4 linked regions of the Saccharomyces cerevisiae S288C genome follow. The gene in region 2 interacts genetically with the main gene of each other region. Each region holds a gene or a part of one and is shown on either strand. Other genes may lie near its edges. The genes, in order: ACE2, TAO3, ARG4 and CRM1.

What was found.
Region 1: of TAO3 (region 2) and ACE2, changing one enhances a phenotype caused by changing the other (phenotypic enhancement), as found in Saccharomyces cerevisiae (one study listed by BioGRID).
Region 3: of TAO3 (region 2) and ARG4, changing one suppresses a phenotype caused by changing the other (phenotypic suppression), as found in Saccharomyces cerevisiae (one study listed by BioGRID).
Region 4: of TAO3 (region 2) and CRM1, changing one enhances a phenotype caused by changing the other (phenotypic enhancement), as found in Saccharomyces cerevisiae (one study listed by BioGRID).

The regions. Positions count from the first base shown.
Region 1 is NC_001144.5:400,937-408,655, forward strand, and holds ACE2 (DNA-binding transcription factor ACE2), read right to left. Parts: upstream 5,887-7,719; coding exon 3,574-5,886; downstream 1-3,573. Other genes in the region: snoRNA-binding rRNA-processing protein DIP2, read left to right, coding at 1-1,552; low-affinity Zn(2+) transporter ZRT2, read right to left, coding at 1,858-3,126; USB1 (phosphoric diester hydrolase), read right to left, coding at 6,347-7,219; bifunctional choline kinase/ethanolamine kinase CKI1, read left to right, coding at 7,509-7,719. UniProt on the Saccharomyces cerevisiae protein: Plays a role in regulating basal-level expression of CUP1. Activates EGT2 transcription in the absence of SWI5.
Region 2 is NC_001141.2:105,354-115,940, forward strand, and holds TAO3 (Tao3p), read right to left. Parts: upstream 7,885-10,587; coding exon 754-7,884; downstream 1-753. Other genes in the region: ASG1 (Asg1p), read left to right, coding at 1-323; MET18 (Met18p), read left to right, coding at 8,453-10,587. UniProt on the Saccharomyces cerevisiae protein: Seems to play a role in cell morphogenesis.
Region 3 is NC_001140.6:136,438-142,935, forward strand, and holds ARG4 (argininosuccinate lyase ARG4), read right to left. Parts: upstream 4,966-6,498; coding exon 3,574-4,965; downstream 1-3,573. Other genes in the region: MIP6 (Mip6p), read left to right, coding at 1-96; YSC84 (Ysc84p), read right to left, coding at 444-1,803, 1,972-2,018; YSC83 (Ysc83p), read left to right, coding at 2,257-3,414; asparagine--tRNA ligase DED81, read right to left, coding at 5,457-6,498.
Region 4 is NC_001139.9:929,571-938,349, reverse strand, and holds CRM1 (exportin CRM1), read right to left. Parts: upstream 5,810-8,779; coding exon 2,555-5,809; downstream 1-2,554. Other genes in the region: TOS2 (Tos2p), read left to right, coding at 1-1,226; mitochondrial 54S ribosomal protein uL3m MRPL9, read left to right, coding at 1,467-2,276; calcium channel protein CCH1, read right to left, coding at 7,535-8,779. UniProt on the Saccharomyces cerevisiae protein: Receptor for the leucine-rich nuclear export signal (NES).

The sequences.
Region 1 (7,719 bases), on a different chromosome or scaffold from region 2:
TTTCGAATGTGGGTATGCATTAACTTGTAAGTTTTTGCCAGGTGGGCTACTAGTCATACTGGGTACAAGAAACGGGGAGTTACAGCTCTTTGATCTAGCATCATCAAGTCTTTTGGATACCATTGAAGATGCACATGATGCGGCAATTTGGTCGCTAGATCTGACCTCAGATGGTAAACGATTAGTGACCGGATCTGCCGATAAAACTGTCAAGTTTTGGGATTTCAAAGTTGAAAATAGCCTAGTGCCAGGTACCAAGAACAAATTCCTGCCTGTTTTAAAACTGCACCATGATACAACTTTGGAATTAACTGACGACATTTTATGTGTACGGGTTTCTCCTGACGATAGATATCTAGCCATCTCGTTGCTGGATAATACTGTTAAGGTATTCTTTTTGGACTCAATGAAGTTTTACCTAAGTTTATATGGGCACAAATTACCTGTACTATCTATCGATATTTCATTTGATTCTAAGATGATTATTACGTCTTCCGCAGACAAAAATATCAAGATTTGGGGTTTAGATTTTGGTGACTGTCACAAGTCTTTATTTGCCCATCAGGATTCGATTATGAACGTTAAATTCTTACCACAGTCTCACAACTTCTTTAGTTGTTCTAAAGACGCAGTGGTGAAATATTGGGATGGCGAGAAATTTGAATGCATTCAAAAACTATACGCTCATCAGAGCGAAGTTTGGGCTTTGGCGGTTGCTACTGATGGCGGCTTTGTTGTTTCTTCATCCCATGATCACAGTATAAGAATCTGGGAAGAAACCGAGGACCAGGTATTTTTAGAAGAGGAAAAGGAGAAAGAACTTGAAGAACAGTACGAGGATACATTGCTAACTTCTTTGGAAGAAGGAAACGGTGATGATGCATTTAAAGCTGATGCATCGGGTGAAGGCGTTGAAGATGAAGCATCCGGTGTTCATAAACAGACTTTAGAATCGTTAAAGGCTGGTGAAAGACTTATGGAGGCGCTAGATTTAGGAATTGCTGAGATTGAAGGTTTAGAGGCATATAACAGAGATATGAAGCTATGGCAAAGAAAGAAGTTGGGTGAAGCGCCAATAAAACCACAGGGTAACGCTGTTCTAATTGCTGTGAATAAAACTCCTGAGCAATATATTATGGATACCCTGTTAAGAATAAGAATGTCTCAGTTAGAAGATGCACTGATGGTTATGCCATTCTCATATGTCCTCAAATTTTTAAAATTTATTGATACCGTTATGCAAAACAAAACTTTGCTGCACTCTCACTTACCATTAATTTGCAAGAATTTATTTTTCATTATCAAATTTAATCATAAAGAATTGGTTTCTCAGAAAAATGAAGAATTGAAATTGCAAATAAATAGAGTAAAGACTGAATTAAGAAGTGCATTAAAATCTACCGAGGATGATCTAGGCTTTAATGTTCAAGGGTTGAAATTCGTCAAGCAACAATGGAATCTAAGGCATAACTACGAATTCGTTGACGAATATGACCAACAGGAGAAAGAGAGTAATAGTGCAAGGAAGAGAGTTTTCGGGACCGTTATATAATAAAACTATTATCCTACATAATACCGGCATTACTCTGCCCTTTTCACACTTCAAAAGGATAGATTAAATTATCTGTATATTATACAATTCCAATCATAAAAATTGTCATTCCGATTGCCCTTCGGTAATAATGGGCATATCCAAATAACGGAATATGTGTTTTTTATACTTATTGGTCGCTGACATATGCTGTTTTTTGCGAGATGTCTCTCGTCTCTGCAGAGCAGTTGTAAAATTATAGGTCATGCATTTTTTTTTTTTTGATAATGAATAACTATCTAATCTAACAAAATATACGTGAGATACTATGCCCATTTCCCTAGAAGAGCCATTAAAGCAGCTCCACAACACATGATGAGATATGCACTAAGCATTTTTTTGAGGCCATCAGGTCCTTTGAATTGATTAGAGTATAAGAATTCATGAGCCATTAATTCGACTAGTCCAGTATAAATAAGAATTCCTGATGATATCGAGTCAAAAACACCATTAGCAATTAATGCTCTTCTAGAGCCAGGTATCCAAGAGTGTCTGACACCAATACCTACCGCGACTGCTATGGGTGACGTTAAAGTGAAGGCTAATCCCATTAACCAAGGCATGTACTTCTTACTTTCTGGCCAATTCGTTTCGGCAACTCTTGTGCCTAGACCCAAACCTTCGAACATTTGGTGGAAAGTTAAAACGATAAATAAGGTTTCGAATTCTTCACCCGCGACAGATAGCGAAAGACCCACAAATACAGAGTGAAAGATGATGCCAAATTCTAGAATAAAAACAGCTAGTATCTGATTGAGATACTGCTCTTTATCTTCCTCCTCGATACGTGTGGCCAACTGGGAGACATCTTGATGGTCATTTTCGTGAGAATAATGATCTTTTCCAGGTACAGAAGCGAGATTTGTCGCATGGGAACTGGTTGGAACTAGTTCATTAGCTAGTGACTCTGTTTTTCCCGGTTCCAGATCATAATTAGTAACATTTGAGCCGGGTTCTTTTTCCTTTATAGGAGTAGCGACAATCTCTTCATTTCTAGTAGTGTACGGAGTTTTGTCATTATGGATGGAGTAGGCAGCTTCGTTATTGAAAGATACAGGATCCGAGTCCATATTTCTGATGACAAATCCCGAACTGGGAGCATCAACATCAATACTGGTAACTTCCCCATGGTCCCCATGATCGTGTCCCAGCGTTTTCGCTACAAAATAATGCGTGATGATTTCAGTGAAGAAAAGTAAGAAAAGCGACATTAAACAGATCCCAAAAGCCCATGGATATTCGGCAAATGTGCCACCAAGACATTCATCTCCCAGAGCTTCGGCTGCGGGCTGTAGAAGATGAACGAACGCTGTGGCAACAATGACACCAGAACCGAAGAACTTCGCTATGAAAAAGCACCAATTTGGTAGCCTTATAAACGAATACCGTGATGACAAAATTGGGAAATAAACTCCCAATCCTGACGATATCAGTATAATGAATACTGCCAGAATTCTAAGACCTGCGTGCCCATTGTAGCCGTTAGAAGCTTGGCAAGTATCTACGGAGTCATCCCTCGCTATAAGATCAACCATACTTTCGAATATGCAGTGTCACTTGGAAACGCCTGCAATGTTTTCTTTGGTTGATGCACCGTTGTATTTTCGGAGATCAACTTTAGCTTTCTTCCGGTCTAACCAACAGGGTGTATGATTCAATAAACAGTATCATCATATATAGTGGGTTTTAGATCGTGTCTCCCAAAAGGTTGCGTCATTTAAAATCGTCACACTGTGTTTTACCAAAGGATGTGTGAAGCTGGTTTGTAGTAGTTAAAGGGCAATGTACCCTAAAGGTTGTGAAAAATTTTCATTTTCGAGAAGGAGTCGCATATAACCTTTAGGGTTATGTCCCTATAAACGATGACTATTGCCTTTTTTGGCCCTTAAGACTACAGTGTACGTAAATCGTAAAGAAATAAATGTATTATATTATTGTTACTATTATTTATTATGTTAATATCATGCATAGATAAATGTTCGTCAGAGAGCATCAGTTTCGTTTGAAAGGGTGCGGTTCGAGTTTTGCTCGTGCGCTGCTGTGGATGGGGGTGGATCCAGTAATCCATGTTTGCGCATATCATCTCGCAGCTGTTCCTCCATTTTCATTAGGACGCTCCCATCTTTATCCCGGGCGATAGTTTCTTTTACGGGACTTGTGTCATGCGGGCTGTCAAGCAGGCTTTTTTTGGGAGATGTAAGTTTCTTGTTGATCGAATGTTCTAATTTCTTACCGCCGGTGCAAATCATCCGACTTCTATGCACCATTAGAGCATCCTCCCTATTAAATCTCTTTCCGCATGGGCAGATGTATTTCTTGGCATTATGGGAGATTTTGTGTCTTATTAAATCATGATTGCGAACAAACGCCTTGGTGCAACCGGGAAAGTCGCATGAATACGGTCTATCTTGCAAATGTGTCTGAATATGCGACCTTATGTTGTATCTACGCTTGAATACTTTGTTACAGTTAGGGTATAAGCACTCGAATAGTTTGTCGGGTAGTTCCTTGACGTACTGGTCAATGGTACCCGGAGGCAGAGTAGTTGGTTTCTTGGTTATTTTCATTGGCGTAGTCCTAGGTATTATTTCATCTGGTAAAGGAGACGTACTATGCAAAGTGGGGCTTTTGTGAATATCATGTGTGACAGGTGGTACTTGCGGATAGCTTTCCACTTCACAGTGACTGTTATTTCGTATGGGTGTCTTAATTTCTAACTGATGATCTGTTAAATCCGGTGCATTTAGAAGCGGAGCTAGGTTACTTCCGTTCTTTGGTGGAGCTTTGACGGGAGTATGTTGAAATACATGTTTTTGTGGCAAAGAATTCTTAATTGGAGTGTTATTGCTGGAACCAGGAATAGGAGGTAGTACACTTGATGACGCTAAAGCGTTTGCATTTCTTAATGTTGGGTTCTGGGTATTTCGCATGTGGATGGGTTCAGTGTCATCCTGCAGTTGTGATATTGTCGAGACCGTGGAAACTACGGATTCCCTTTTCTTGTGGATAGGTGACAACTGTGTTCTAGGCGTGAACGTGCCAGCAGCATATCGATCATCCCTGCTTTTATCTGTGCCGACGAGGAAGGGCGATCTCAAACTATTTCCATTTATCCTTGGAGAGATACTTAGCCCACCCGGGGAAGTCTTTTCGAACAGACGGAATATGTTATCACCAGTACTATTTTTTTTATCATTATTGTTTTTATCACTGGTGTTATTATGGTCATTATAAGTCAAGCCGTCCAAGTTTAAATTATAATTTTGTGGAGAAAATGAAAGCAGTTCAGAATCTCTCAAATAACCACTGTTAGAGGAAAAAAGGTTCAATCCATTACTTTCTGGGCTTTTATTTGGATATCGTTGCCTATGGTATTTCCTGGATGGTGAACCATTTATTGAAGTATTTGACATCCGAGGCGATATTAACGTCGGAGGAGGAAATTGATATCCGCCATTTGCAGAGTTCGTTGTGACGATTATAGCATTATCTTTCATTCTACCGTTTTGCATGGCAGGTGTCTTTAGTATTACTGGAGATCCAGGTTTGGAATTAGAATTTGTAGCCCCAGAAACCAACTTCTGCGCCACCTCTTCTTGCTCTTCTAATACTTTACGCAACTTTTCTTGCTGTATTTGATTGTCTCTCAACTGCTTCTCCAATTTTTCGTTCACTTCCTTTTGTTTTTCAAGAGCAATTCTTAACTCCTCCTGCTGTTTCAACAAAACTTGGCTCAAATAGCTATTTTCACCATCATTTTCCCTTATATGGTCAAAGTCATCATTGTTATTTTTTACCGTATTATGATTACCCAATTCATTTATGAGTTCCATGGGTTGCGGATCTTTAGACATATTTAGAATGGATTGCTGTAAACTGGAAATACTCAATGTCTTATTATGGCCGAGAAATCCAAATATCGCTGTGCCACTTAGACCTCTCTTGTGTGAGGACATTGATTTTTTGCTATAGTGGGAGACTTTGTTGTTTTCATCACCAAGGTTCCAAGTTCTATCAATATTCTTTTTATCAGAAGAACCATCGCCCGTCTTAGGAGAAGGCACTAAAGGAATATCCAGATCTCTTAACTCTTGAGTCAACAGGTCATCGATGTTATAGTAGTCCATACCTAACAAGTTATCGAGGCCATCATCGTTTTCATTATTCAAAATATAATTGTCGGGTGGGGGTATGGTAGGATTGACATTATCATGATGTTGAACATACTCCTCATCTTGAGTGTCTTTCGCGAAGCCTGAGGGATTTATATACCACGGATCTACAACGTTATCCATGATTGTATTAACACCGTTTTTGGTCCTATAGATTTCTTTAGTTATTTCTTGAATTTATGCCTTGTATTTTTTTCTTCTAGCACTTTAACTGTTGCTTGAGTCTCCCTGCAACGTAGCTTTTGTTTGCTAGGTACAATGCCGAGAGAGGTTGTTATAAGTTTATGTGTACTATAAAACCCTTAATGAAAGAAAAGGGACAGAAATATTGCGAGTAAACAAACAGTACTCCCTCCTTAATATTTGCCCGTTAATGGCTAAATGCTTTCTGGAGTTGATTTACTAGCTACAAGCATCCTTATCCTTTACCTGTAAACCAAAAGTGTCCTGAAATTTTCCCAAAGTGCCAATGTTTACATTTTGCCGTTTTGAGATATATATCGTATATTATGACAACCTTCACCTATCTGACGAGCCGCTCTCAGTGCCCCGGTATTTTTGGGCGGCTATTCCTATAACACTATTAGTTAAAAGGGATTCTAATGGAGTGACGGTTTTCATCACAATAGATAGAGTTAACTAAGAACTCTAGTTTGTATGCAAAGTCATTATTGAGTAGTAAAAGCGCCCCCATCGTCTCGTTTAATTGTTGATAACGTTTTAATGTGGCTTTTGAAGGGTTGCTAGCGATGGCAATTGAAACATGTAAATTTTGCCTACTTACAATTAAATCCTGATAGTTTGAAATGCCTGATTTCTGAAGTGCCTCAGCTATTATCGTTTTGAAAGGAGAAATTTGTGCCTTATTGGGACATTCTGAGACAGGGAGACCGAGGTACAAGGTGTTGGCTCGTTCTGATATATATAACTTCGGATATGAGCAGATTTGAAGTTTAAAAGGGGTTATTTCATTATTTCGTAAACCATTACGCATTTCTTGAATGAAAACATGTCTTTGTTCTTCAGTTTCAAACAACAACGATCGAGTTAAGGAAACGTGTAAAGGTTTGGGGGCTCCCAAGTGTGAGATGAACAACGGGTCAAAATCCACCAGTTGATACGGATTAGTGTATTCCTGTTTCATAAATGTTTCTTTATATTTACATATGATTTTCTGAAGTTGTCGGTGAATCGCTGGAGTCGGACGCCACTCAAAATATGTGAACGAACGCCAAAATCGACTCATATTCATATCCTGGTGCTCGTACTTTTGTAAATTCGGAGGGATGTGGTACTTCAATATAATTGAATCCGGTATTGCAGGTAAATCAGTGGAATCGGCTTTCTGTATGCAAGTTTTCTCCGTGTATTCGATTTGGACCTCACTTTTGTTACTACTTTCGCTCTCGGTATCACTACCGTCACTGCTAGAATAGTCTGCAGATATGAATTCCATAGGCCAGTCTTCTTCTAAGCGATTGGTAACCTCCTTCACTTTAGAACACCACCAACAGATCGTTCTCTTGTTCTTTGTTCTTTATGGTATAATATTCACATGGTGCTCTACCGTTTTTCTTGTCGGCCCAGCCGGTTAAATCTCGAAGAGACAGAATAGAAGCTCTGTGGCTGTAAGTAAGGATAAGCCAAATGGAAAAGTTATAGAATTAGGACAACAATATACAGTTTTTTTTTGTACTCTTATAGAATACACACACATAGATACGCACGTAAAATTAGAGCAAAAGATGGTACAAGAATCACGTCCAGGGAGTGTAAGAAGTTACTCGGTCGGTTACCAAGCAAGGTCCAGATCGAGTTCTCAAAGAAGACATTCGTTAACACGCCAACGTTCCTCGCAAAGACTGATTAGAACCATCAGTATCGAGTCTGATGTGTCTAATATTACTGACGATGACGATTTGAGAGCTGTCAATGAGGGAGTAGCGGGTGTGCAAC
Region 2 (10,587 bases):
ATAATAATAATAATAATAATAATAACAATAACAATAGTGGTAATAGTAGTAATAATAATAACAATAATAACAATAATAAAAATAATAATGACTTCGGCATTAAGATTGATAACAATTCACCGTCTTATGAAGGGTTTCCCCAGTTACAAATACCGCTTTCACAAGACAATTTGAACATAGAAGATAAAGAGGAGATGTCACCTAATATTGAAATTAAAAACGAACAAAATATGACTGACTCAAACGATATTCTTGGAGTATTCGATCAGTTAGATGCTCAGCTATTTGGGAAATACCTACCTTTAAATTACCCCTCTGAATGAAAACGTTATCTTTGATTTATATTCTATAATATCGTGGCTACAGCACTTGCTGAACATAAGCTTAAAACGTTTATGTGTGTATTTATATATGATAATAATAATAATAATAATAATAATAATAATAATAATAATAATAATAATAATAATAATGGTGATAAACTGCAATAACAAAAGAAAATAGTACCAATCCTGGATCTAGTTTTCCCTAAAATCCAATTTTTACTTATCAGCCTCACTTCCTAAACTACCTCACCTTCAAAAGCTCGATAATTAAAAGAAAACATGAATAATATAGTAAACAATGATAATAGTTTCTCTATAAGATTATCTAATTTTCGAACAGTATTAGCTATATGCGAAATATCTTCATCATTGGTACCTTATCATAAACCAAGGCCTGCTTTATATTTATTTGAACGAAAAAATTAACTTATATTCTTGGCTTTCCATTCCTGTTTATTTTCACAGCAAATGAATCAGCCAAATGAGTTTTAAATGAAACATTGGACGGTGTTCTAGATAAGCTCCTGTTCAGTATGACTGAGACCTTTTTGTCATACAACTGTGGAGCAGACTCAAAGGAAAAAGTTTGATCTGTGCGAGTGGTTTCAATCGAATCAGAACGTCCATGTGGAATTCCCATCCCCATTTTAGAGGAGATATTTGGCACATTTGTGTCCTTTGTGAAAAAACTATCAAGATTATCTAGCTCTGCCCACATGTGACTTAACGAAGCATCCTTTTCTTCCGCAACAGAAATGGAATCGTTTGTGTCCATTCTACCAAGGTCATAATCACCGTCCGCATGAAACTCGACAATTGTATCCATTCTGCCGAGTTCATAGTCACCATCCGCATGAAATTCGATAACTGCATCCATATCATCCGATCCGTGAGCAGATACTTCATCTGATTTGCCTGTACCACATGTCATAAAAACTGCGTGAACGTTGTGCCTTGTCGTAGCCGCCGTCATTGTTGGCATAGGAACAGACCAACCGCTATCTTCAGGCAAACCAAACAAGGTAGTGGTAGCATTATCGCCGTCTTTCACATCCTTATTTCCCATGGTTATCCTTAAAACATCCTTATCCATTTTACTTCCAGAAACATTTGGTACGCAATCTAAAACTTCCAAGGCCTTTGCTTCGTATTCAGTAAATAGTAACCTGAGTAACGGAGAAATCAAATCAGCACCGACACCAATAAATTCTGGCCTTCTTAAGTCAATTAAAGGAAAAACATATTTTAAAATTTCCAGAGTTTGAACTCTGATCCATCCTATTTTATTGAACAGAAGACCCAGAAGGAACACTAACGTTTGAGCGGAGTACGAGGGGAAGTAGTTTCTAGATATGAAACTCACTACTTGGCTCATGAAATCTTTCTTTGATCTAAACTTGTTCTTTGCTAGAGAATCTATCAAACGGGAAAGAGAAGGTTGTTTGTACGCATTTGCAAGTTCAATTAACGAATCTGCAGCAACCTGAATGCCCGTAAAATCTTTGCGATCCATTGCATTCAAAAATCTCGGAAGGTTTGCTATTAATGCGAAAAGCAGCCTAGACTCTGTATTTGCTATAATTCGGCTATCTTTCAACAAATTTAACTTATCCAAAAATTTCCACGTAATCTCTAAGGAATTCGCTGATCGCAATCCAGTCATAACTATTTGTTGCAAGCCATCAAAGCGACCTTCCCAATTGGAAGGAAAGATCGCAACCAAACACTGTACGGTATCAGGAGAATCCAAATCGATCTTGGAAATGAATTTACTTAAACATGACAGCACTTCAATGAATTCTTGTTCGTGAATGCTGCTCAAACATGCTGTAATGGACCAAAATAACTGCGGGAAACTGATCAAATTCGTCGGATCAAGTTCGGCCATGATTGCATTCAAAGTCATCAAGATCTGCATGGCAAATCCTTGTATATCGACATTTCCATCCGATATAGTGTTCGAAAGTCTATGAAGCATATCACGCAACATTTCCTGATCTAAAAATGTCAATAATGATCTAAATATTTGAAATGACCTGCACGCTATGTGCCTAACTGAGCAAGTGGTAGCCCACTTCAAGGCAATTCTTTGCCAAGTTACTTGAAATTCATCTAAGTCCGAGAATATAGAGATTATGTTCCTAATTAATAGGTCCATAGTTTTTGGTGATCTTGCACCTTTTTTCATCAAGTTATCATATGACCATAAGGCATGCTTATTTCTTAGTAGTTTCACGGTTTCCTCAGACTTTTCGTGACTTGGTGCCAATCCAAATATTAATGTAGATGCAATTTTACACGCGCTTTCGTGAATAAGCGGCACATAATGGTCAAGCAAGCAAATGGACATATGTAGTAGAAGAGGAATTTTCGCCTTTACAGATTCACTCAAGTTCGTTAACAAATTGACTAAAAAGATAATCGAAAGCTGCGCCTTCGAAAAAATGATTCTTTTCCCATTGTAATTTAGTCGTTCCCAGATATTCCCTAAAAAGGAATACTTATTATTATTCATTGGCTCATTAAACGTATGTTTCGCTAAAGGAACCATGTATTTCGGTTCTAAATTATTCAATAGAGTGTCAAGTAGTCCAATGCCACCAGGAATATTTGCCAAATACAATACAATATCTCTAGCATACTGAACAAACAATGGATTGCAGTGATTCATTGAAGAATTTATGATGTACTCCAGCGATACGTGTATATTTTGGAAAGAATTACCCTTGCCAAGAGAAATCCATAGCTGCTCTACTTCGTTCGGTAAAGAGTCGTTAAGATCAATAGTGATGTAAAATAGGTTATTCAATACCATAAACGTGTCCAACTCTTCTAAAGATTTCAATGTAAATTTGTTTACCCAAGGTACCATAAGCACCAACAAATCTCTTTTTATTTCGAAAGGAAACAAATCAAGTATTCTAACCAAACTGGAAAATATTCTCAAACACAAATCCTGAGAGAGCAGTTCGGCAAATATGCTAGAAATTTCTTTTGCAGTTGATTTGTAAACCGTCTTTGAAGAATTTGCAAGTCTCTCCTTAAATACCTTGGTATAAGAAGAATTATGTAATTTCGTTTCAACAGCTGAAAGTAGATCAACAGCAAATGTCCTTGTATCTTCCTTATCTGCCACTAAACCATACAAACCCAAGGAGACTAATTCATCTTCATCTAAAACCAAATTATCCAATTTCAAAACGGATTTACAAAGTGTAGTGTAATATAAAACAGCTACCGAAGGATGTGAGTGGTGTGAAACACATTGGAAAGCAACATCTCTAAATAGTTTAAAATTTTCCCTATTTTTGTCCAGGAGATTCTCCAAAGCACGCACACCAAGATTTTTTACAGTAGTATTGTCCGAGTCAAATAGTGCTTCAATCCAAGCAAGTAAATCTTCAGTATCGAATGAAATCACAATAGGCAACTCTAAATCATCGTCCAATGTTTGGGTTATTGGATCTGAACATAAAACAACCATAGTCTCTAGCACGATCATCTGCAATCTGTTTTTTTGGAATTCTATTCCAGTTGTAATAGCGGTTCTATCTCTGCCACTCTCTGTATTTTTTATCATTATGGCATATCTTTCTTCAGATATTGGCTCGTACTCACCATAACCACACCATTCCTTCAAGAAATTGAAACATGATGCGCGTGCTTGGAAGGGAAATAATTCATCTATTAGCGGATGCTCTCTTACTGCCATATAGTAGCTCAATATAAGACCTGCAAAGTAGCTTCGCAGCGATTGATATTCGTAGGAGATTTGCACAGAATCCTTCTCGAGGAACTGTTTTGTCTTCTGCAAAAACTCTGATAATTTCCGAAGTATCCATTCGTCATTAAATATCATATCCGATTTTAAGTACGGCGATAAAATCGTCAAAATATGAAACATCTCCACTCTGATTTGGTTGTTGGAGCTCCCTTCTTTCCATGCCACTAAAAATACATCAATTGCCTCCACATATGCTTTAAAAATGTTGATATTCATTGAGCTTAGCCCCGTTATTATAGCATCCCTAATCATAATATACTTTGCATTTAATAAGGGAAGAACCATCTTGAAGATTGATTTCGCAGATTTGATTTTTTGGTGCTGAACAGTAAAGATTTGTTGACTTTTTTTCCTGCCATGCTGAGGAATATTGGACGGAATATGCAGTTTTTGGTCAAACGTGGAAGTTAATGAAGTACATGCGGCAATCAAATATAGCTTCCATTGGTTTACTATTGTTTCCGGTAAAACATTTTTGAGTTTGAAATCAACATCATTTGCTACCCGCAGAATTATTTCGTGTACTTGCACAAGTCTTATACAAACGATAGATCGACACAATGCCATCGCCATAGGACAAGTTTTGAAAACCAACGCCAGTAATTTAGGAAAAGCCCTTTGCCATAGTGCAGCATCTACTCCGTACTCTGATTCGGCCAGTTTGATAAGTAGACCTCTTTTATATTTAGAATTCAGTCGACTGAATCTCGTTTTTTCAACCGCACTTAATGTTGCTTTATGTGGATTAATTAAGGTAGTGGTATTACACTCATTTAATAAATCAATAAGTCTTGTTCCGCGATCAGCTGCAAAATGGGATGATGATCTAGAATGCCCGTTTGACAATTTCTCTGTTTTCTCCATCATCGCTTCGTCAAACTTGAAAATAATTCTCAATATCTGGATGCCCAATCTACGAATTTTTGCATCGTGTGAACAAAGAAAAAATAAGCCATTCCCTTCTACTTCTTCAATAACTGTAACTGTATTTTTCCACTCCAGTTTTTCGGTTTCGTTACTCTCCTCTTGTTCTGCATCGATCGGCAACAAGCGAATTCCATCCAAACCAGTTTCTTTTTTATTTTCCTCTTTATTGGACGATTGGAATTCTTCTAACCAGCATTCCAAAAGCTCAACATAAAGTATCAATAATCTGTTGTACTCCTTTGATGACAAGTACGACATGTTATAACTTGATTGTGTCTTTTCATCGAAATCAAATGAATATTTAGCAAACCATGTGATTAGGGTGTATGGATTCTTCTTAGATGCTAATGCTCTTAGTGCATTTTGACTGCTAGAAGAAATAATTACCTCCGAATGAACAGCGTTCCTTGATAAAATCTCAATTGTAGATTTATATGGGATAGTGCGTGAAATAGAAAGGCAACATGGTATAGCTTCAATGATGGTGCCGAACAATATAACATAAAGCGACTTATTTTTACTTGAGTCATTGTCATTAGAAAAGCTAAAGCCAAATGGGCTGAATGCGTTTGATGATTGCTTTTGGTGCTGATTTTCAGGAGACCAAACTTCAGAACCGATGCTAGAATCCAATAAAAGGAATAATTTATAAAAGTAATCTGATATTTCTGTATGGTTTATGGAAGAGGCTTCTTGAACCTGATTCACTGTAATATTGTTTAAATTTAGTTCATAAAGCCTGTTATCATCCTCAGGAAACCTTGGCCTCTCTTTTGTAACCAGCAATCCTTTGTATGTATTTATAGTCAAAATCAGTTTTTCGTAATTGATATTTTCCAGGTTAGAGCCATTGAAAGATTGCCGTATCAATGGAATTAAAGCTTGTTCCATTAAAAAATTCGGATGTAAAAATCCAATTGATATTAACGCGTCTGTCAATGGGTTCAAGAGACCAAAATCGCCGGTTATCCAATTCTCTTTTTTCCTTGTGTTTAGATATAGTTGTAAAAGCTTGGTAAGCGTCCTTGTAGTATTATTTAAAGTTTCTGGGCATCTATATAAATAGACCCAAACTAATCTGGATAAACCAACTGCAAAGATAATCCTTTCATTCAGACTTTTGGACTTAACTTTTGAGGCATTTGCCTCCAACAACGATAGCCATTGTTTAGAAAATAGGTCTGGTGGTGATGCACACAAAATAGAAACTGTTAATTTGAAACCACTTACCCAATACTTACTATCAGCTTGTAGCCTCTTGGCAGTGTTCAGTAAAGTAGACATTGCCTCTACCCACGTTGGATGATTAACTTCTGCCGTCAACGAGCCAGCCAAAGGCAACAATAGCTGGTTAGTGACTTCAGCATACGCCAAACAAACCGGAAAATTTTCAGTCTTTGCGAAGAACTTTGATAAACTTTTCATGAAATCTGCACTTTCTTCAAATTTCTCCAACGGATAATTTCTTAACTTCAAATATCTCATACCAAGAATCAACAAATGAGTACTTGGCTCTAACTCGGGAGGTATATACGCCGGGATTTTTTCTAGATCAGCTATAAATCGATCACTAACTGACAAAAATTTCTTTTCAGACATAGAGCCCAGTAGTTCGGCAAAAGAATTCCAATTCGAAGACTTAATTAAACTAGTTGATATAGAAAGTGGATCAGTAGTTTTTAACTGAGTAAAAACAATCTCTTCTAGCTTATCAGATAAATCTTCTTCTTCATTGCTGGAAGCCTGCTTAACAATTTCATTTAGCACCCTGCATAGGATGTATATACTAATCAGAGATTTCCTATCTGCAAGGAATGCTTCTTCTTTTGCTACTTCAATTGTGTTCTCTAAACTTTTCAATTGTGAGTTCGCTATGGATGGACTTGAAGTAGCGCTATTGTTACTGCTACTAGCTTTGATTAACGGAACTTTGTTGTTGAAAGATGAGGAAACGTGCCTTTTCATGCCAGGAAGATTATTGGTATTGTTATTATGTTTGTACTTTGAGGTTGTATTACTGGAAGATCTTGATAGCCGCCTATTCATTAAAAAATGAGCCTGCGAGGGATGTGCCTTTTCAAACTCATACTCTTTTAATAGTTTTTCCATTTCTTCTGAAGCAGAGTTGGCCGCTTCAGATTTAGTCTTCCTCCAAAACATCATTGCATCAATCACAGGTTTCGGTTTTTTCTTTGCAATGTGACCTAGAGATTTAATAATTTCATCAAAGCTGGGATCAACGCCTTCACCAAGAATTTCTACAATTGGGGGTTCCGCCATGTCCAACTGCTGTAGACACATATTTAGTTTGTTCTCCGCGTAACGAATAAACTTTGTAAAAAGTATATGAAGAGCATATTCAGAGGGACTTTTCCAATCTGTAGCCATTTGCTGTCTCAAAGTAGTCACGTAGTCCTCTGCTACTGATTTTGCTGTAATGTCCGGCGGTGCTGATTCTTGCATTCTTTGCTGCTTTTGTTCAGGTAGTAGCATTGAAATCTTGTTTTGATCACTTTGCTCCTCAACAAAGGTAGGCGGAAGAGCTTGACCTTCCCCCGTTCCTTGTTGCTGTTGTTGCCGTAAAAGTAATTGATTATTTAGAGAGGTGCCTTCAGACATATCAGTAGGAGATGGAATATCAATAATAGGTGCATCCGTAACGGATTGGTGAAGAGGAAATGTGTTAAGTGGCGCTTCGTTTATTTCCTCCAAGACATCCTGGCCTGAAGGATCAATATCTATTGATATCTGGTTATTGTTGCTAGAACCTTCTGCTTTATTTGTCGGTGGGAAGGTGAAACCAATGCCTTGATCCCTCTGGGGCGGGAAAGTAAATCTCGAGGCCATTTTGATGTATAACAAAACTAAAAAGGGTTATTAAAATGGGAACACAACAAACAACCAGAATTTTCACACTTTAACCAGTCACGTCCTATTATGAAGACCTAAATCCACATTTGCTTTCTCTCTTCATTTGCCTAATCCTTTATCCCAATTTCTACAGTTCTATATGTATTTTCCTGTGTGGCTGTCGTTTCGTGGTTAGTGATACAACCATAACGATTCAACCAACTCCCAATGTATGTGATGTTGATACCGCTAATTTGGAAGGGATGGTATACTCTAGGTGACCTCAATGAGTCAAAGAGAGCTAGGACATACTTCGAGATAGGTAATACCACTTTGCAGCTTCTTTTTAGGCCTTCATGAGTGAGTAGCCAAGAAAAAGTTAAAAGCGGGTAATAGGTATGAATTTTTCAAATACTGAAATTTGGTTTAGTTATTTAAGTGAATTGTAGATTATGTACATTTTACGTGCAATGAAGGAGTCACCTCTATGATCATCTAGTTATTAGCTGTTAGTTTTCATTGAACTTGTTTTAACTGGGAAAAAGCGGAACAATTGGGCCTTACAATGACACCAGACGAACTAAATTCAGCAGTCGTCACCTTTATGGCCAATCTGAATATTGATGATTCGAAGGCCAACGAAACCGCTTCCACAGTAACGGATTCTATTGTACACCGATCAATAAAATTGCTGGAAGTTGTCGTTGCGTTGAAAGATTATTTTCTTTCAGAAAATGAGGTAGAAAGGAAGAAAGCGTTGACATGTTTAACCACTATCTTAGCAAAAACTCCCAAGGACCACCTCTCCAAAAACGAATGCTCAGTAATATTTCAGTTTTACCAGTCTAAGCTTGATGATCAAGCGCTTGCAAAAGAAGTCTTGGAGGGCTTCGCCGCATTAGCTCCAATGAAATATGTCTCCATTAACGAGATAGCCCAACTTTTGAGATTATTATTGGACAACTATCAACAAGGCCAGCATTTGGCATCAACTAGACTGTGGCCATTTAAAATTTTGAGAAAAATATTTGATAGATTTTTCGTCAATGGATCCTCGACCGAACAAGTCAAACGAATCAACGATTTGTTTATTGAAACATTTCTTCATGTTGCCAATGGTGAAAAAGACCCTAGAAATTTACTCTTGTCATTTGCACTTAATAAATCTATCACATCGTCCTTGCAAAACGTGGAGAATTTTAAAGAAGACTTATTTGATGTCTTATTTTGCTATTTCCCAATCACTTTCAAGCCACCAAAGCATGATCCTTACAAGATCTCCAACCAAGATTTAAAAACAGCTTTGCGATCAGCAATTACTGCGACGCCATTATTTGCCGAAGATGCTTATAGCAATTTGCTGGACAAACTCACTGCTTCTTCACCGGTAGTGAAAAATGATACACTTCTGACGCTATTAGAATGCGTTAGAAAATTCGGCGGCTCTTCTATATTGGAAAATTGGACGTTACTTTGGAACGCTTTGAAATTTGAAATTATGCAAAACAGCGAAGGAAATGAAAACACTCTACTAAATCCGTACAATAAAGACCAACAGAGTGATGATGTGGGCCAATATACTAACTACGATGCTTGCTTGAAAATTATTAATCTAATGGCATTGCAACTATACAATTTTGACAAAGTATCATTTGAAAAGTTCTTCACTCATGTATTAGATGAGTTGAAACCAAATTTTAAATATGAAAAGGATTTGAAGCAAACCTGCCAGATTTTGTCCGCTATAGGTAGTGGGAATGTCGAGATATTTAACAAGGTCATTTCGTCAACTTTCCCCTTATTTTTGATCAATACATCTGAAGTTGCCAAACTTAAGCTGCTGATTATGAATTTTTCTTTTTTTGTTGACTCGTACATTGATTTGTTTGGAAGAACATCTAAAGAATCGTTGGGAACACCGGTGCCAAATAATAAAATGGCTGAATACAAAGACGAGATCATAATGATTTTGAGCATGGCCTTGACAAGAAGCTCCAAGGCAGAGGTTACCATAAGGACTCTATCTGTGATTCAATTCACAAAAATGATTAAAATGAAGGGCTTTTTAACCCCAGAGGAAGTTTCACTAATTATTCAATACTTCACGGAAGAAATATTAACGGATAACAACAAAAACATTTACTATGCTTGTTTGGAAGGGTTAAAGACAATCAGTGAGATATATGAGGATTTAGTTTTTGAAATATCATTGAAGAAATTATTGGATTTGTTACCTGATTGCTTCGAGGAAAAAATTCGAGTAAATGATGAGGAAAATATTCACATTGAAACAATTTTGAAGATTATTCTTGATTTCACCACTTCGAGACATATTTTGGTCAAAGAAAGCATTACATTTTTAGCGACAAAATTGAATAGGGTAGCTAAAATTTCGAAATCCAGAGAATATTGCTTTCTACTTATTTCAACCATATATTCTCTTTTTAATAATAATAATCAAAATGAGAACGTGCTAAATGAAGAAGATGCTCTTGCACTCAAGAATGCCATTGAGCCAAAATTATTTGAGATAATTACTCAGGAATCGGCCATTGTAAGTGACAATTACAATTTGACACTTCTATCTAACGTTCTTTTCTTCACCAATTTGAAAATTCCACAGGCTGCACACCAAGAAGAACTAGACAGATATAACGAGCTTTTCATTTCTGAAGGTAAGATAAGAATCTTAGACACACC
Region 3 (6,498 bases), on a different chromosome or scaffold from region 2:
CACTTTTTATTAATGACAAATACTTCATTAGAATCACAGAAAATTCTACAAAAACAAGTCACTAGAGCTGCTGAAAGCCTCGGATTTACAGTTTGATTCCTTTTAAAGGAAGAAGGCAGGTTCATCAATATGCAATTTTCGGTACAAAAGTACGTATGTCTATAAAAATAGAGTATTGTTTTCTTTGCTATCTTAATCTACCCAGAATTATTCCAAGGAGTTTCAGCCTCGATTTTTTTTTAGTTTAATGGCGTATAGTCCAGTTTCAAGAAATACTCCACCTACTAAGTGAGTACTTAAGAAGTGGTTCCTCGAAGCTTTCCATTGTGATTATATAACTACAAACATTTCGTAAACATAGCTGAATAAGGAACCCATCCTCAACTTCATAACTCTAAAAAAAAATTCTATATATAGGAACGAGACATATGGAGGACGATAATTTAAGAAACTCTAACGTAGTTTGCAGGGAATATTCCTTCTTTTCCGTTAGTCCTGCCTGTCCACCAATCATTTTGAGAATCTGATTTTTTTAAGATAGTAATAACATCACCTTTTTTGAAAGCCAAGTCGCCTGGTTGTTCTCCAGCAAAATTGTAGAGAGCAACAGCCGTTGGTGTCGCCGAATTTGTAGCAGTGGATTCATTACCTAACCCTGTCTTCGACATTTTATGTGATAAATCATCGACATTGCTCATATTGCTGGGGTGAGTTGGGCCATGACCAAGGCTATAACCCCTTTCTCTACCATAACCACGCCTATTTCCTCGGGTATTATCATAATCCCTACCGGAATGGTTGGGACGGGAGTATTCAGTATCTCTATCATACAAATCATCTTCCCATCGGGTATTCGCACGCGGCTTAGTACCCCTATCTATCTGTGGGCCTCTATTGCGGCTGCTGTTTCTATTTGGAGATCTTCCGTAATCATAATCTTCATCTTCGCTATCAAAATCTCCATACCCGCGACCACGTCCGTAACCATCATCATCATAATCATCATCATAACGACTGCGTGACCCCAGCGACATTCCTCTTCTTCTTGATGATCTTGTGTTTGGACGTGTTGAGGATTCATCAGTAGAATCAAAGGAATCTGGAATATCGTCGTAATAATGGCTTGTGTTGTCGCTGTATTGACCGTCATCATAAAAATCATCACCGCTAGCGTTGTCATCATGGTCGTGGCGTGTAAAGTTGAACGCTCTTGATTCCAAGATACGGAGTAGGGGGTCTGCTGCTGGTGGAACTTTTACTCTACCTGACAAAATCATCTTTGATGTACAGTTATCGCCGTAAAACTTTCGATTAGCTTCCCTTCTCTCCAAGATGGCTGAACCTTCCACAGACACACCGGCAAATAAACCTTTGCTTTTGGAATAGGCAAAAACTGCCGAGACACCACCTGTGGATGCAGAAGCTGCAGCTTCTGCACTTCTTCCAAGAGGACCTGCGGAAACTGACACATTACCACCTAAAGTAATTGTACCAAATTCAGAAAAGGACCTCACTGCCTCTTCCGAATTTAAAATAAAAACAAAATCTGTCAATTCAACGCCGACCATACCACCTGCACCAGCACCTGCCATAGCGATAGCAGAGGGAGCCGACCATGTACCGTCTTTTAACCTGGCCACAATCACCCCAGAACCTGCTCTCCCTGAAAACAAGAAGCCAGCCTTTAAAACCGTGATAATTGCTAGACCTTTAGCTCTTTTTAGCACATATGGTGGAATAACTTGGTCTGCTCCAAATACTTGATTTGGTTTAACAAAACTCCTTAGAACTTTCGCGGCCTTCCTGTAGTTAAAACATTCGAAATAAATCAATCATAAAGTTGTTAGTACATTACTTTTGAAAACTCATGCCCCATAAGCAATGGACACAGACTAGAGAGCTATCTTGAACATTTTAGCTGCATCCATAAGTTTAGAGGAGGGGCAGCAGGAAGCATATATATGAACATACTTGGTCTCGCTTTTCAAGCTTCGAGGAATTGGATTATTGATACCCATTTTTGGATTTTGGATTTGATATTACCACTACTCTTGAAAATTTTACTGTGAAGTGTAAGATAGTTTCATGTTATAGATAATGTTAAGAACAGGGTCTAGTTAGGGGGTAGTCAACTTTAATTCCCTTCAGGTCGTTTTCGGTCAGCGTCGGAACATGTAAAAATGTTGTAGGTGGCATACAAACAGGAAATATAAAACAGACAACAGAAGATATTTGCTCTCAAAAAAACAAATAAAAATGGCTTGGTCTGGTGGTAAGGATATAGTGGATCAGATATTTGATGCTGGGTATTGGCTCGTCTCGAAAAGCGCTGTCTTGAGCGATGAGATCAAGAACCACGTCGAAAAATCAATTGAATCCATATCTGGAAAGATATCCAACAAGGAGACTCCTCGACTACAGGAAAACGACAGTAACAGATCTAAAGTATATAAAACTTTGAGGATCGGGCTCCAGGATCATTGGAAGCTAGGCTTGGGAATTTCTGCCACCTCCCTGTGCTTATACCTTGGGTATAGGACCTTTTTTAAACTGCCACCTAATTTACCTGAAGCAGAATCTCAAGTGGTATTAATACTGGGCGATATGAATGATCCTATCATAAGGAATCAAGTGATGGATTTATATCGCAGACGGTTTACAGTATATATTTGTACTGAAAATGCAGACGTCTATAAGAAGCACGAAGAAGATCAGGATTTCATATATTACATTGATCCCACCTGCGAAAAAGACTTCGAGGGTTTTTTTGTTGATGTACCAAGGCTAGCATCCATATTGTTTATGCCAAGGTTATCATATCATCCATCCGGAGTAATTTCATGTGACTCATTGGAATCTGAAATTCATTCAAGTATATTTGTGTATTATCAAGCATTATTAAGCATTATACCCCATTTGAAGAGAAAAACCCAACTAATTATGTTCAATCCATCTTTGACTGCGGACCTGAACTTAGTCCATCATAGTACAGAAATTATAACGTCTGGAATAATCGACTCACTATTTAAAATTTTCAAGGAATATCAAAGGTTAAATGTTTCCACAATCAAGCTTGGAATCCTGCAGATTGGGTCACAACCATCGAACTATAAATTTTTGAGAATGGCCGGTTCAGACATTCACGAGGCCCTACATTATCCAGTTTACAAAATGATAATGAGTGCGAATGGGTATAAACTAAGACAACTGCTAAGTTGGTTAACGACTTTGGGAGGTTACAATAGTGTGTATTATTGCGGCCGTTTTAGTTATTTAGTCTCATGGCCATTTGCTTCACTTATATTCAACCATCACACACGTCTTTCCCTGAAACGCTTGAGAGGAAGATTAGCCAAGGTATATAGCAGCATTATTTCGTTTTTTTGCCGGTCATCTTCTAAATCATCCAAATAATATCCTTGATTAGATAACAATTGCTTATCTACGTATATATATACATAGCACAATCTCGAAAATATAATACTAATAACAAAATAAGTATTTAAAGAAGGGTTGATGAAGTCCTAGAAGTACCAGACCTGATGAAATTCTTGCGCATAACGTCGCCATCTGCTAATTTAATTGGGATTTCAAATTATCCAATTGCTTCAATACAGCAGATTTAGCGGTTCCACCAGTAGCATCTCGTCTTTCAACGCTTTGTTCAAAGTTAAAAGTTTCAAAAAGATCTTGTCCGAATCTCGAATCGATCTTTTGATACTGCTCCAAGGTTAATTTATCAATACCGCTTAGACCAAGTCTTTCAGCAGTAGCGACACACTCACCAGATATGTGATGAGTCTCTCTGAATGGAACACCCTTTCTGACCAAGTAATCTGCCAAGTCGGTAGCTAGCATATCCATCGTGAGAGCAGCTTCCATCTTTTCCTTATTTACAGTTAAGGTAGAAATAACACCTGTGGCAATCAGCATGGAGTGCTCTACAGTTGTTAAGCAATCGAATAGTGGCTCTTTGTCTTCTTGCATGTCTTTATCATAAGTAGATGGGATACCCTTCAAACTCATCAAGAATCCTGTCAGATCACCAAATACTCTACCGGATTTACCTCTTAACAACTCTAACGAGTCTGCATTCTTCTTCTGAGGCATTAAAGAAGAACCTGTTGAATAGGCGTCGCTCAACTGTATGAAACCAAATTCTGCTGTACAATATATAATCAAATCTTCAGCAAAACGAGAAATATGGTTCATGAACAAAGTTCCCCAAAACATCAACTCCACGATGAAATCTCTATCAGAAACAGCAACCAAGGAGTTACCAATTACACTATTGAAACCCAAACCTTCAGCCAAAAATTCTCTATCAATGCCGTAAGGATGACCAGCAAGAGCGCCTGCACCCAGTGGTGATTGATTCAATCTGTGTAGTATTTGACCCAGTCTCTTGTAATCTTCGGTGAAGTATGTTGCATAAGAGCTCAACCAATGAGACCATCTAATAGGTTGTGCCCTTTGTAAATGTGTGTAGCCTGGCATTAAGACATCTATCTCACCTTCGGCCCTCTTAATTAGAACTTCAACCAAGCCCTTTAAAGCTGGAAAGAGGGTGTCATTGACAATGTCACGACAGTATATTCTCAAATCGGTAACAACTTGATCATTACGGGATCTACCGGTGTGGACTTTACCAGCAATATCGCGGCCAATTAGTTCACCAAGACGTCTTTCATTCGCAGTATGGATATCCTCGTCGTTTGGATGACGGACAAATTTGTCAGCGTCCCATTCTTTTTTGATTTCAGCCAAACCTTCATGGATCTTTGCCAATTCTGTCTCCGTTAGAAGACCCAACTTCTGCAAGCCCGCTGTGTATACTTTAGTTCCTTCTAAATCTGCCTTATACATCTTATAATCATACGGAAGAGACGCATTGTAAAGGTGCATCAAAGGATCGGTTTCACCAGTGAATCTCCCACCCCATAGTTTTTGAGTGCCGTCTGACATGTTTGCCTTAGTCTTGTTATATAGTTACCTGCTTTTGAGCTCTTCAATTGCGAATATTCTCCCCTAGCTAAAGAAAGGTAGTCTTATCTCAGAGTTCTGTGCTTCGCTGACCTTTTATAATCCTTTTTTTTTTTTTTCACATGTTTCAATTTGCGCCAGCTTATCCAAAAAGTGAGTCATTCATCTACTAATCATGATTTTCGGGATTCTGCCAATGAGTAACCACCACAAGAACGAACAAATAATCGAAAAAAAAAAACTGTTCTAGGCCAGATATGATGGAGCCTTGGCAGATCAGGTTATTTGATTGTCGTTAACAGAGGGTTTGGAAGAGTAAAGAAAAATTAATTGCCTGCGCCAACCATTTATTGTTATAACGCTAATTCTTGAATAAATCAATGAATAATTAGAGAGAGGGAGGAACGTAAATATTAATCGGTATAAATATTTGTATATATGTGAGCGCTCACGTACTCTTCAGTAACTAAAGATCATGGCTTACATCTACCGCTGAAACGTGGATACAAGGAACAGTCTCTGACAGTGAATCTGTCACACAACCAGGCTAAAATACGTTCGGTACCGATACCGTAACCACCATGTGGGCAAGTACCGTATTTTCTTTGGTCAATGAACCAGTAGTAGGCGTCGGTATCAATACCCTCACGCTTAAACCCTGCCATTAGTTCGTCCATGTCGTCGATTCTCATAGAACCACCAGTGATTTCACCAACGTTTGGCATCAAAACGTCGACGGATTCAGTGACGCGGGGGTCGTCAGAACAACGCTTCATGTAGAAAGACTTGATTTCTACTGGGAATCTCGTCAAAAAGATTGGGACGCCGATGGTATCGGTCATCTTTCTTTCAGCAGCTTCTGCAATATCGTCACCAAATTTAAAGTCTTCGCCCTCTTCGTTCTTGATGTCGTGTTCGTTCAACCAGGTAATGGCATCCTTGTACTGTAATCTCATGAATGGAGCCTTTGGAGCCTTAAAGTTTGGATTCAATTGTTTTACGAGTGGGCCAGCAATTGGGTCTTCCAAAACGTATTGCACGGATTTGACGATCAAAGTTTCAATATGTTGTAATAGATCGTCGAAAGTCAAGAAGGCCAATTCAGCTTCGATATGGGTATATTCGGACAAATGTCTTCTTGTGTGGGACTTTTCAGCTCTGAAAGATTCTTGGATGGTATAAACATCACCTAGGGAGGCCAAACAGGTTTCTAAATATAATTGGGAACTTTGGGTCAAGTAAGCTTCCTCGCCGTAATAGTTCATCTTGAACAAAGTGGAACCACCTTCGACTTGAGTTTGCACCATACATGGTGGGGTAACTTCTGTCAAATGTTCTTCATCATAAACACGTCTAACGCTTTTCAGTAGAGCAGCACGGACTTTCATGACTGCAGACAAGGCATCTCCTCTCAAGGCCAAATGACGTTGGTCCAACAGTAAAGAAGGGTCTGAGCCCTCTGCGATTTTGTTTGTAAAGGAGTCTTCACCACCGGGGGCCAAACCTACAACTTCG
Region 4 (8,779 bases), on a different chromosome or scaffold from region 2:
AATCGAATTATACGAGTCGTAGCGGGCTCGAGCCTCAGTGTTCGAGAGAGGAGGAAGAAAATATTGACAGAATAAGAAGCATTTATAACATTTATTTTGAGAAAAGTAATAGCACGATACGATCCTCTGTAACTTCTTCGATACGGCGTGACTCTAAATTAAACATCGCTACAAGAAAAAGTGTAAATATGAGCTCTCAAGACAATCCAAATGATACTACATTAATTGAACAGAGTCACTTCGGAAGTACAACTGTCCAAGAAATTGATTCCAGTTCCAGCGCCAATGAGGAATATGAAGATGCAACTGATTATCTGCAAGTGCCGGCACCACAAGAGAATAAAAACATTGCATCGTCAGTATATTCAGAAGTAGCAACCAGAGAAAAAGTGATTCCCGAATCGTCTCTATCTCTTACATTCCCACCACCGAATGGTCTTTCAACGAGAATTACCTCATCAATATATTCTGACACGGTCGCTAAGGACCATATTCACTCTGCAAAGGCTCCCGTACGGGCCCTTTCGGAGGGTTCGGGTCAGTCAAATCTTACTTCTGCTCAGCAATATTCTACATATTTTATAGATCACTGCAACCAGAGCAATGATGACAATTACTACTATAATTATCCCCTCCCGTTAGAACATCCTCAAAATTATGAGAACATCGGAGATTTGCCCACGCCTACCCAATTCATTTATTCCACCTCTTCGCATTCCTTGACGTCATTCAAAGGAAGGCCTAAACCTCCAAAAACACTAAAACATGTACCTACAGCTAGGCTTAATGGGACAGCGTTGAATCCAATGGATCATCCTGAAATGTTTTACAGTTCGCCTACGAAAATACCGTCAACATCTTTGACAAAGCAATTTTGTACGCCCCTTCCATATCAGCTTAGACAAAGTGTTGTTATGACCAACCCATCAGAACTTTCTATGAAACCTCGCTATAAGCCTGCAGGATCTTTAAGAAATTTAATAAAGGCCCAATATCTCCCTGGTAACTCATCCACTACAACATCATCTTCTTTATCACAACCGCCGTCAACGTTGTCAAATGCAATAAATTTCCGTGTTAGTGGGTTATTGGATGACACTGACATCTTGCAGCCTCCTAGTGTGGGGGAAATCTTACCTTTTAAAGCTTCTACGGAAGACTTAAGGAAGCAACTGGGCACATCCCATAATTACGAAATAACACCGTACGAGAATGTACATGTATAAATAAAATTCAAAATCATGAAATGTTGTAACAGTAAATAAGCACCATAAATTCGTTTCTCGATGATCCTCTTCTTTCCTTAATTGAAATGCTAATGCCATTTCTCCTATTACAGTCGCGAGATATTTGTTTTCGGGTAATCCCTTGTCAAACGAACTTTATTGAAAAATATATGGACGATAAATTGACAACTGGGACGAGAAAGGGCAACTCTTTGAAAGCAAGAGAGAACAAATATAGCCATGTCGAAGTTCCTACAGGGATCAATATTTAGCATATCAAAACTTCATGTTAGATATTCTTCTACTCGGCCTTTTCTAGTGGCTCCTAGTATTGCTAACAGTATAACAACCGAGGCTCCAGCGATTAATCACTCACCTGAACTGGCAAATGCGAGAAAATGGCTACCAAAAAGATGCGGTTTAATTACTCGTAAGAAGGGAATGATGCCTTATTTTGATAAATCTACTGGTGAAAGAAGCGCCGCTACTATATTAGAAGTTAATAATGTTGAAGTAATAATGCATAGAACTTCGGAGGTCAATGGGTACTTCGCGTGTCAAGTAGGGTACGGATCAAGGCATTTGTCTAAAGTTAGCAGACAAATGCTTGGTCATTTCGCTTCTAAAGTTGTTAACCCAAAAGAGCATGTGGCCGAATTCCGAGTTAAAGATGAAAAGGGATTAATACCACCTGGCACATTATTGAAACCCTCTTTTTTCAAAGAAGGCCAATATGTTGACGTCAGATCAGTCAGCAAAGGCAAAGGTTTTACTGGTGTGATGAAAAGGTATGGATTCAAGGGTTTGAGAGCATCTCATGGTACATCTATTATGCATAGACACGGTGGTTCTTATGGTCAAAACCAAGACCCAGGTAGGGTACTGCCAGGAAGAAAGATGCCTGGTCATATGGGAAACGAGCATGTTACTATCCAAAATGTTAAAGTTTTGAAAGTCGACGATGAAAATAATGTTATTTGGGTTAAAGGCTCTGTGGCTGGGCCCAAAAACAGTTTCGTTAAAATTCAAGATGCAATCAAAAAAACTTGAGCATAAGGCGTATAAGTATTTTACTACAATCATGTACATACATCAATAATAACAATAAAATGGGTAATCACTTAAGAATCTTCAAATAATATTCTTTACTTTTCCATGAAGTTGGCTAAATAGTATTTAGTACTATATTAGAGTATTGGAACTTTGAAGAACCAATTTACATACAATATGAAGTGAAAAAGAAATGAAAACCCCGTGGTTATAAATTAGAGACTAGTTAATAAAAGGGAAAAAATATTGGAAATTTAAAGAATGATACGCCACCGCCTCTAATCATCAAGTTCGGAAGGTTTTAATAACCCACCAATCTTGGCAGCTTTTTCCCTCTCTAGTCTATTCTGTTCCATTAATGCATTCTCTTTATCTTCAGCAAACAAATAATCTGTTGGATCACCTCCGACTTCTTTGATTTGCACCAAAAAGTCCCTCAAAGTGCCTTTGAAGACCACTAAGTCTTTGTATTGTTTAGTTAATGCAGAGAGAAAACTTGCGATTTGTTCGGATGTTAAATGGGGGAATGCATTACTTAACATATTAGCCAAATATTGGCTTAAGTAGACTTGATTTGAAGTTCCTTGTGGTACCTCAGCTTCTTGATATAATGGTACCGAAATCTTGTTATCATAAACCAAAGAAATCAACTTCATTAGTAACAAAGCTTGCTTAGAAAAACCGGATTTGTGGTCGGAATCGGTTAAAACAAAAAACGTTTCACTGACAAAAATGAAAAAATAATTCTTGTGGAACTCATTTGCAAATGGGACATTTCCCATTCTTTCAATGTTTTTCACTAGGTCTAATGCAATCTGTAGACCATTAACTTCGACATCTCTATTGTTATGTTTGAACGCCCAACAAATAGCGTCAACAAACAATTTAAAGGCAGCCGGAGGTAGTTCCAAAAATGCAGCAAATGATTTCTCATTGATGACCTTCAATAACTTGTAAAATTCTACACGATGCTCTGGATATTCTGTGAAGTCTTTGTTAATCATGTCCAAAGTGCATTCAAATACACTCTGTAAAATTAAAATAACACCTTGTGGGATCATATGACCAACCTTTTCTACTACTGTTGTCATACAATTTAGCACTTCGGCGTCCCTTGCATCAGGAACGTTGTTCATATAGTCTTCAAGTACAGCGTTCAATAATGGCTCAACTAACACTTTAACGACATCATCCAAATTTCTCGCCTTGGATATATAGGTCTCAACAAGCTTCAGAATCTCTTTTTTGATGGTTCTCAAACCACGAACCTTTGGTGTCTTCGTAGCAATTAGACCTTCTGCGGCAACTTGAGCAGAAATCATCGAAGAAACAGCTCTGTATAGCTGAAGCATATTGTAATAGATGTGACCCAACTGTGGATAGAAATCTGCTCCCATTGAGGTGCAGACAGCTACATTGGTTTTTATAATATTCGCAATAATTTTGACAGTTTCAGAATCTAACAACAATGTTGGGTTAGCAGTGGATTGTTCCACTATAGTGTCCCAAGCCATATTTGGCAGTTGCATCAAATCACTTAATAATCTATTTCTCTCCGCTACGCTTCTTTCTTCAGAAATAATAATACCACAAGCCTTGTAAAATGTATGGACCTGTTGCGGCTGTAGGTCAGCAGTTGTCTTTTGAATATCCCTAATTATTGTTTGGATGAAAGGCTCAGACTCACGGGGTTGTTGAATAACAAAATGATATTTACATTTTTGAACAATCTTAATGAATGTGTCACATGCCATATCCTGAACACCCTCATGAGTTTCATGCATAAATTCAAAAAGTTTCAAAATAACTGTTCTTAGAAAATTCCAGTGAGCCTTCAAAAATCTAGGATATTGGCCCACGACGTACATAATATCCGATGCAACAACAGCTTTATTATCTTTACCCCTTTTCTTGACCGTTAAATCTAGTAAATCTTTAATAACAGTAACTACAAACCTTTTTTCAGTATCTTCGCTCATTGTACCAGATATGGAACCAATAGCCCAAGATAAAGTGTTGATATTATGCCATGACCATTCGGAACCATCGATTTGCCTTGCCAATTTACTGATCATGATTTCTTCTGTATCGATAACATTCAAATGGGTCAAATATACAAGAACCTCTCTTTCTGATTTGTATAATTGGATAGTGTCTGATTCTTTAACGAACTCTCTAACAATTTCTCCTTCATCATTTTCAACCACAAGGACTTCTTCTGGTCTAACCATATTTTCAATAATGACCAATCTCAACTGTGAACAAATTTCTTCGTAAATATGTTTTTTTAATGGAAATCTTTTCATATATTCCGGATTTAGGGCGCCAGATCCAGTTGAGATAGCTTGTGAACCGACTGATAACTGTATCAATGGGCTCATTTCGGTAGCAGGCAAACGCTGAACCTCATAAAACAAATCTGCTACTAAATTATGCCAGTAATCCAATGTCGTCTTAAATAGTTCTCTTTCTTCGATTTTGGATAATTGAATTAAGTATTGGTGCGCATTCAACAACAACTCTCTTAACGATTCATCACTCTCTAGAAGGGCCCTATTACGAGCGAGATATGTAGTTAGAAACATTGCTAAATCTTGTAAGAAAGATTGATCATTACCGTTAGCATTTGCATAAGTGGCTTTCAGATCGGCAGTCACGGGCATCACACTTGTGGCAATTTGTTGTAGAGTATTTTGGAAAAAAAGTACAGTTTGTCTTTTTATCAAATCATTATCTTGTGGAATTTTTAGATTTGAAACCTCAGTCAAACATTTCAATGTGATGGCTCTTGTATCAGGCGATGTCATGAATTTGGTGCTTAATAATTCCAAAATATTGGTTTCATAAATATAACGATAAGGAATCCAATGTAAATATCTCAGTAAAGATTCTAAGGTTGCCACTATTAGAGAGCTTGAAGAACCTTGTTCCAAAACTTGAAAACATAATTTAAAAATCTGTTCAAATTCTTTTGACATGGAATTTTTCAAATGTAAAGCTTTAGCTTGTGTCATTTGTTCCGCAGAGAAATCGAAGACTTCTTCGGATAGCAGTTTCAAAACGATCATGTTATTTTCACAAACATTAACAGAGGAACTTGAACTGCCGATTAGTTCTGGGATAAATTCAGGCCAATTCTGAGGCCATTCCTGCTTTAAAATTTGGACCAAAGTCAAGTCCGACTTATTGATCAGGTTCTTTTGTGTTTTAAATACTTCATCGTCTTGGCACATGGAGATAATCATACCAACAACGAAGTTCCTAATTCCAATTCTATGATCATTCGGCAACAATTTCCATTTTCTAGTAATTAATTTATCAAGGATGGAAAGGGCAATAAATTTTGATTGAGGGTTAGTTGAGAATTGAAGAATTTGGTCAGCTTTTTGCCAAGCGTCTGGATTATCTTGAAATTTAGTCAAAATCTCTTGGGCTTGCTTTTGCTGAACACCTGAACCTTGATAGAATGTAGATACCACCTGATCTAATAGAGCGATATCTAAGTCGTTAGAAAAATCCAAAATTCCTTCCATATTATGTTTTTATCCTATTTTTGAAGTCAGTGAGCGGTTTCAATAATGTAGAGTAAAATGTTAACTTCTTCTTAATTATACTATTAGTTAAGTTTCTTGCCTTTCACAGGTCAACGTCTATTATTGTAGGTGTAAGTAATTGAAAGAGCGAGAATGATAGAAAAGAACAAAAGAAAACTTAACAATGATTGACTTTACTTAAAATAATCAGGCCAGAGAAATGAATAGTGTTGAGGTTCTCAAGATCTATGTCAAAGTTGTGACCGAATATCCTGCAGTTGATAATCTTTTTTGCCTTTGCTATTAGCGATAATTCATAATAATGCTAACGTAGGAAGAATAAGGAAAGCCAGGGAAATCTGCGAAATTCTTTTTTTTTCTTATAAAGAAAGATCATTCCAAATAGTATATATCTCCGGGTAATGATGTAATATTGCCCTTCATAATATATTATTTGTATTGAAACGATATAAGAGGAGAGGATTGACAGTAACTGGGAGGTATATAATGTGTACACAACATGAGAAATGGGTAAATGATGAGATAATTGTTGGGATTCCATTGTTGATAAAGGCTATAATATTAGGTATACAGAATATACTAGAAGTTCTCCTCGAGGATATAGGAATCCTCAAAATGGAATCTATATTTCTACATACTAATATTACGATTATTCCTCATTCCGTTTTATATGTTTCATTATCCTATTATATTATCAATCCTTGCACTTCAGCTTCCTCTAACATCGATGACAGCTTCTCATAACTTATGTCATCATCTTAACACCGTATATGATAATATATTGATAATATAACTATTAGTTGATAGACGATAGTGGATTTTTATTCCAACACAACAATTGAGTACTATCATATTCGTATGTTTCCGTTGTATCGCCATTCTAAATAAATGGAAAAGCTGTTAATATAATTGGCGTTACTTTTCGGATGAGCCGTATCGGCTGTGCATTTAACACCCGTTAAAGCTTCAAATACAAAATTGTTGGAACGAGAGTAATTAATAGTGACATGAGTTGCTATGGTAACAATATAATGCTTACATCGTATATTAATGTACACCTCGTATACGTTTAAGTGTGATTGCACCTATTGCAGAAGGAATGTTAAACGAGAAGCTGAGACAATACTGAAGCTGTGCTTAAAATCTATTAGTTGAACATGATATGGTAGGTACATATATGAGGAATATGAGTCGTCACATCAATGTATAGTAACTACCGGAATCACTATTATATTGGTCATGATTAATATGACCAATCGGCGTGTGTTTTATATACCTCTCTTATTTAGTATAAGAAGATCAATACTTATTTCTTCATTAATACTATTTTTTACCTCTAATTATCAACAAAAATAATATCCGGAATAATCAAAAAAGATTTAGAGTGCATAAATTAATTCCCTTCTAATGGGTACTCTTGCAATGTATAGTATTCTTTGCCCAGAGGAAGATAAAACTTATTCAGATCTCTTCAACCATTAAGATATAATCAGTAAGCGCAAGTGGTTTAGTGGTAAAATCCAACGTTGCCATCGTTGGGCCCCCGGTTCGATTCCGGGCTTGCGCATTTTTTTCTTTTCTTTTTTCCCTGAATAGTAAAGTTTGACATGCTCTAGAAAATCACCTCTCAATAAAACAAATTTAAATTATTCTTATTGTTCATTTTTACATCTATAAAGCCTCTTAAATATGCCCTTATATAATTTATCTATCAATTAGATCATTTGCGCTATCGTCATTATTATCTATTGGTTCTTCCGGGGGCTCCATCGTAGAGTCTTGATTCATTCTCGGAGACCACATAAAATTGTTAACACCGTAGTCCATTCTAGGTGTCGCAATAGGTTCTCTTTCTAAAATTCCTGGAGCAGGTTCCAGATTTACGTTTATATTCGAAATGTGAGACGATACTGTGGGATCTTTAACATCCCATTCGGGTTCAATGGTACGTTTCATCCTGCAATGAAATTTCCATCTTGTTACCACCATCTCCAATACATCGAAGTTTCTTTGATTTTCTAAGTACTTGTCCACTTTACCCAGGATATATAGATGATGGACATATTGATCAATACCTAGACATTCCCTTGCAGAATAAGCTGTATAGAGAGGTATTTGTAATAACAAATCCGAGAATCTGATACATCCATTATAAGCATTCGTATAGTGAATGCTTTGTACAAATCTTCTGTACTGTAACTTCCTCTGTATGATCTTTGCTTTATCAATCGTATTCAGCTCTTTGTTCAGTCCGATCAGGTCTATTTTGACGTCATATGGATCATCTGGGTTAACCTCCATGTAGTTCTCGACTAGACTTTTTATTGTCAATCTACCTTCCCAAATTTTAAATGAAAGAGGACCGTCAAATGAATGCATTATTCTTGGGAGGTAGGACAGCTCAAGCTCGCCAGTTCCATCAGTATCAAATTTGGACCAAGCTTCAATGTATTTTTTTATCTCCGATCTGTTGATGCCAGAGCGAGATCCACCGCTACGGTAAACATAACTGAAATTACCAATAATCAACGAAACAAACATATTCACAAAAATATACATGGAAATAATATTCCACGACATTAATAACAAATAGGCATATGTCTCTGATCCACAGTCCGTATAGGTTGAATTATCATCAGAGGAGCAATAAGGTTCTGACACAGTTAGGTCGGCCATGATATAATTCCAGCCCTCACCAAAACTACATCTAAACAGAACAATCATGGATTTGATTACAGTTCTAAAATTTATGTTATCGGTCGTATTACTCCCTAACCTTGTTAGGCCGAAGATTTGATTCAAAGCAATAGCATATACTAAAAATAAAACCCCCCAAGTGTAGGTCAATGATAGAATAGGCGGTAAGCTTGCCATTGCGGTTTCTAATAGTTCAGTTAGTGTGTCATTTTGAGGAATAATAAACAAAAATATCACTAACAGGAAAAACCC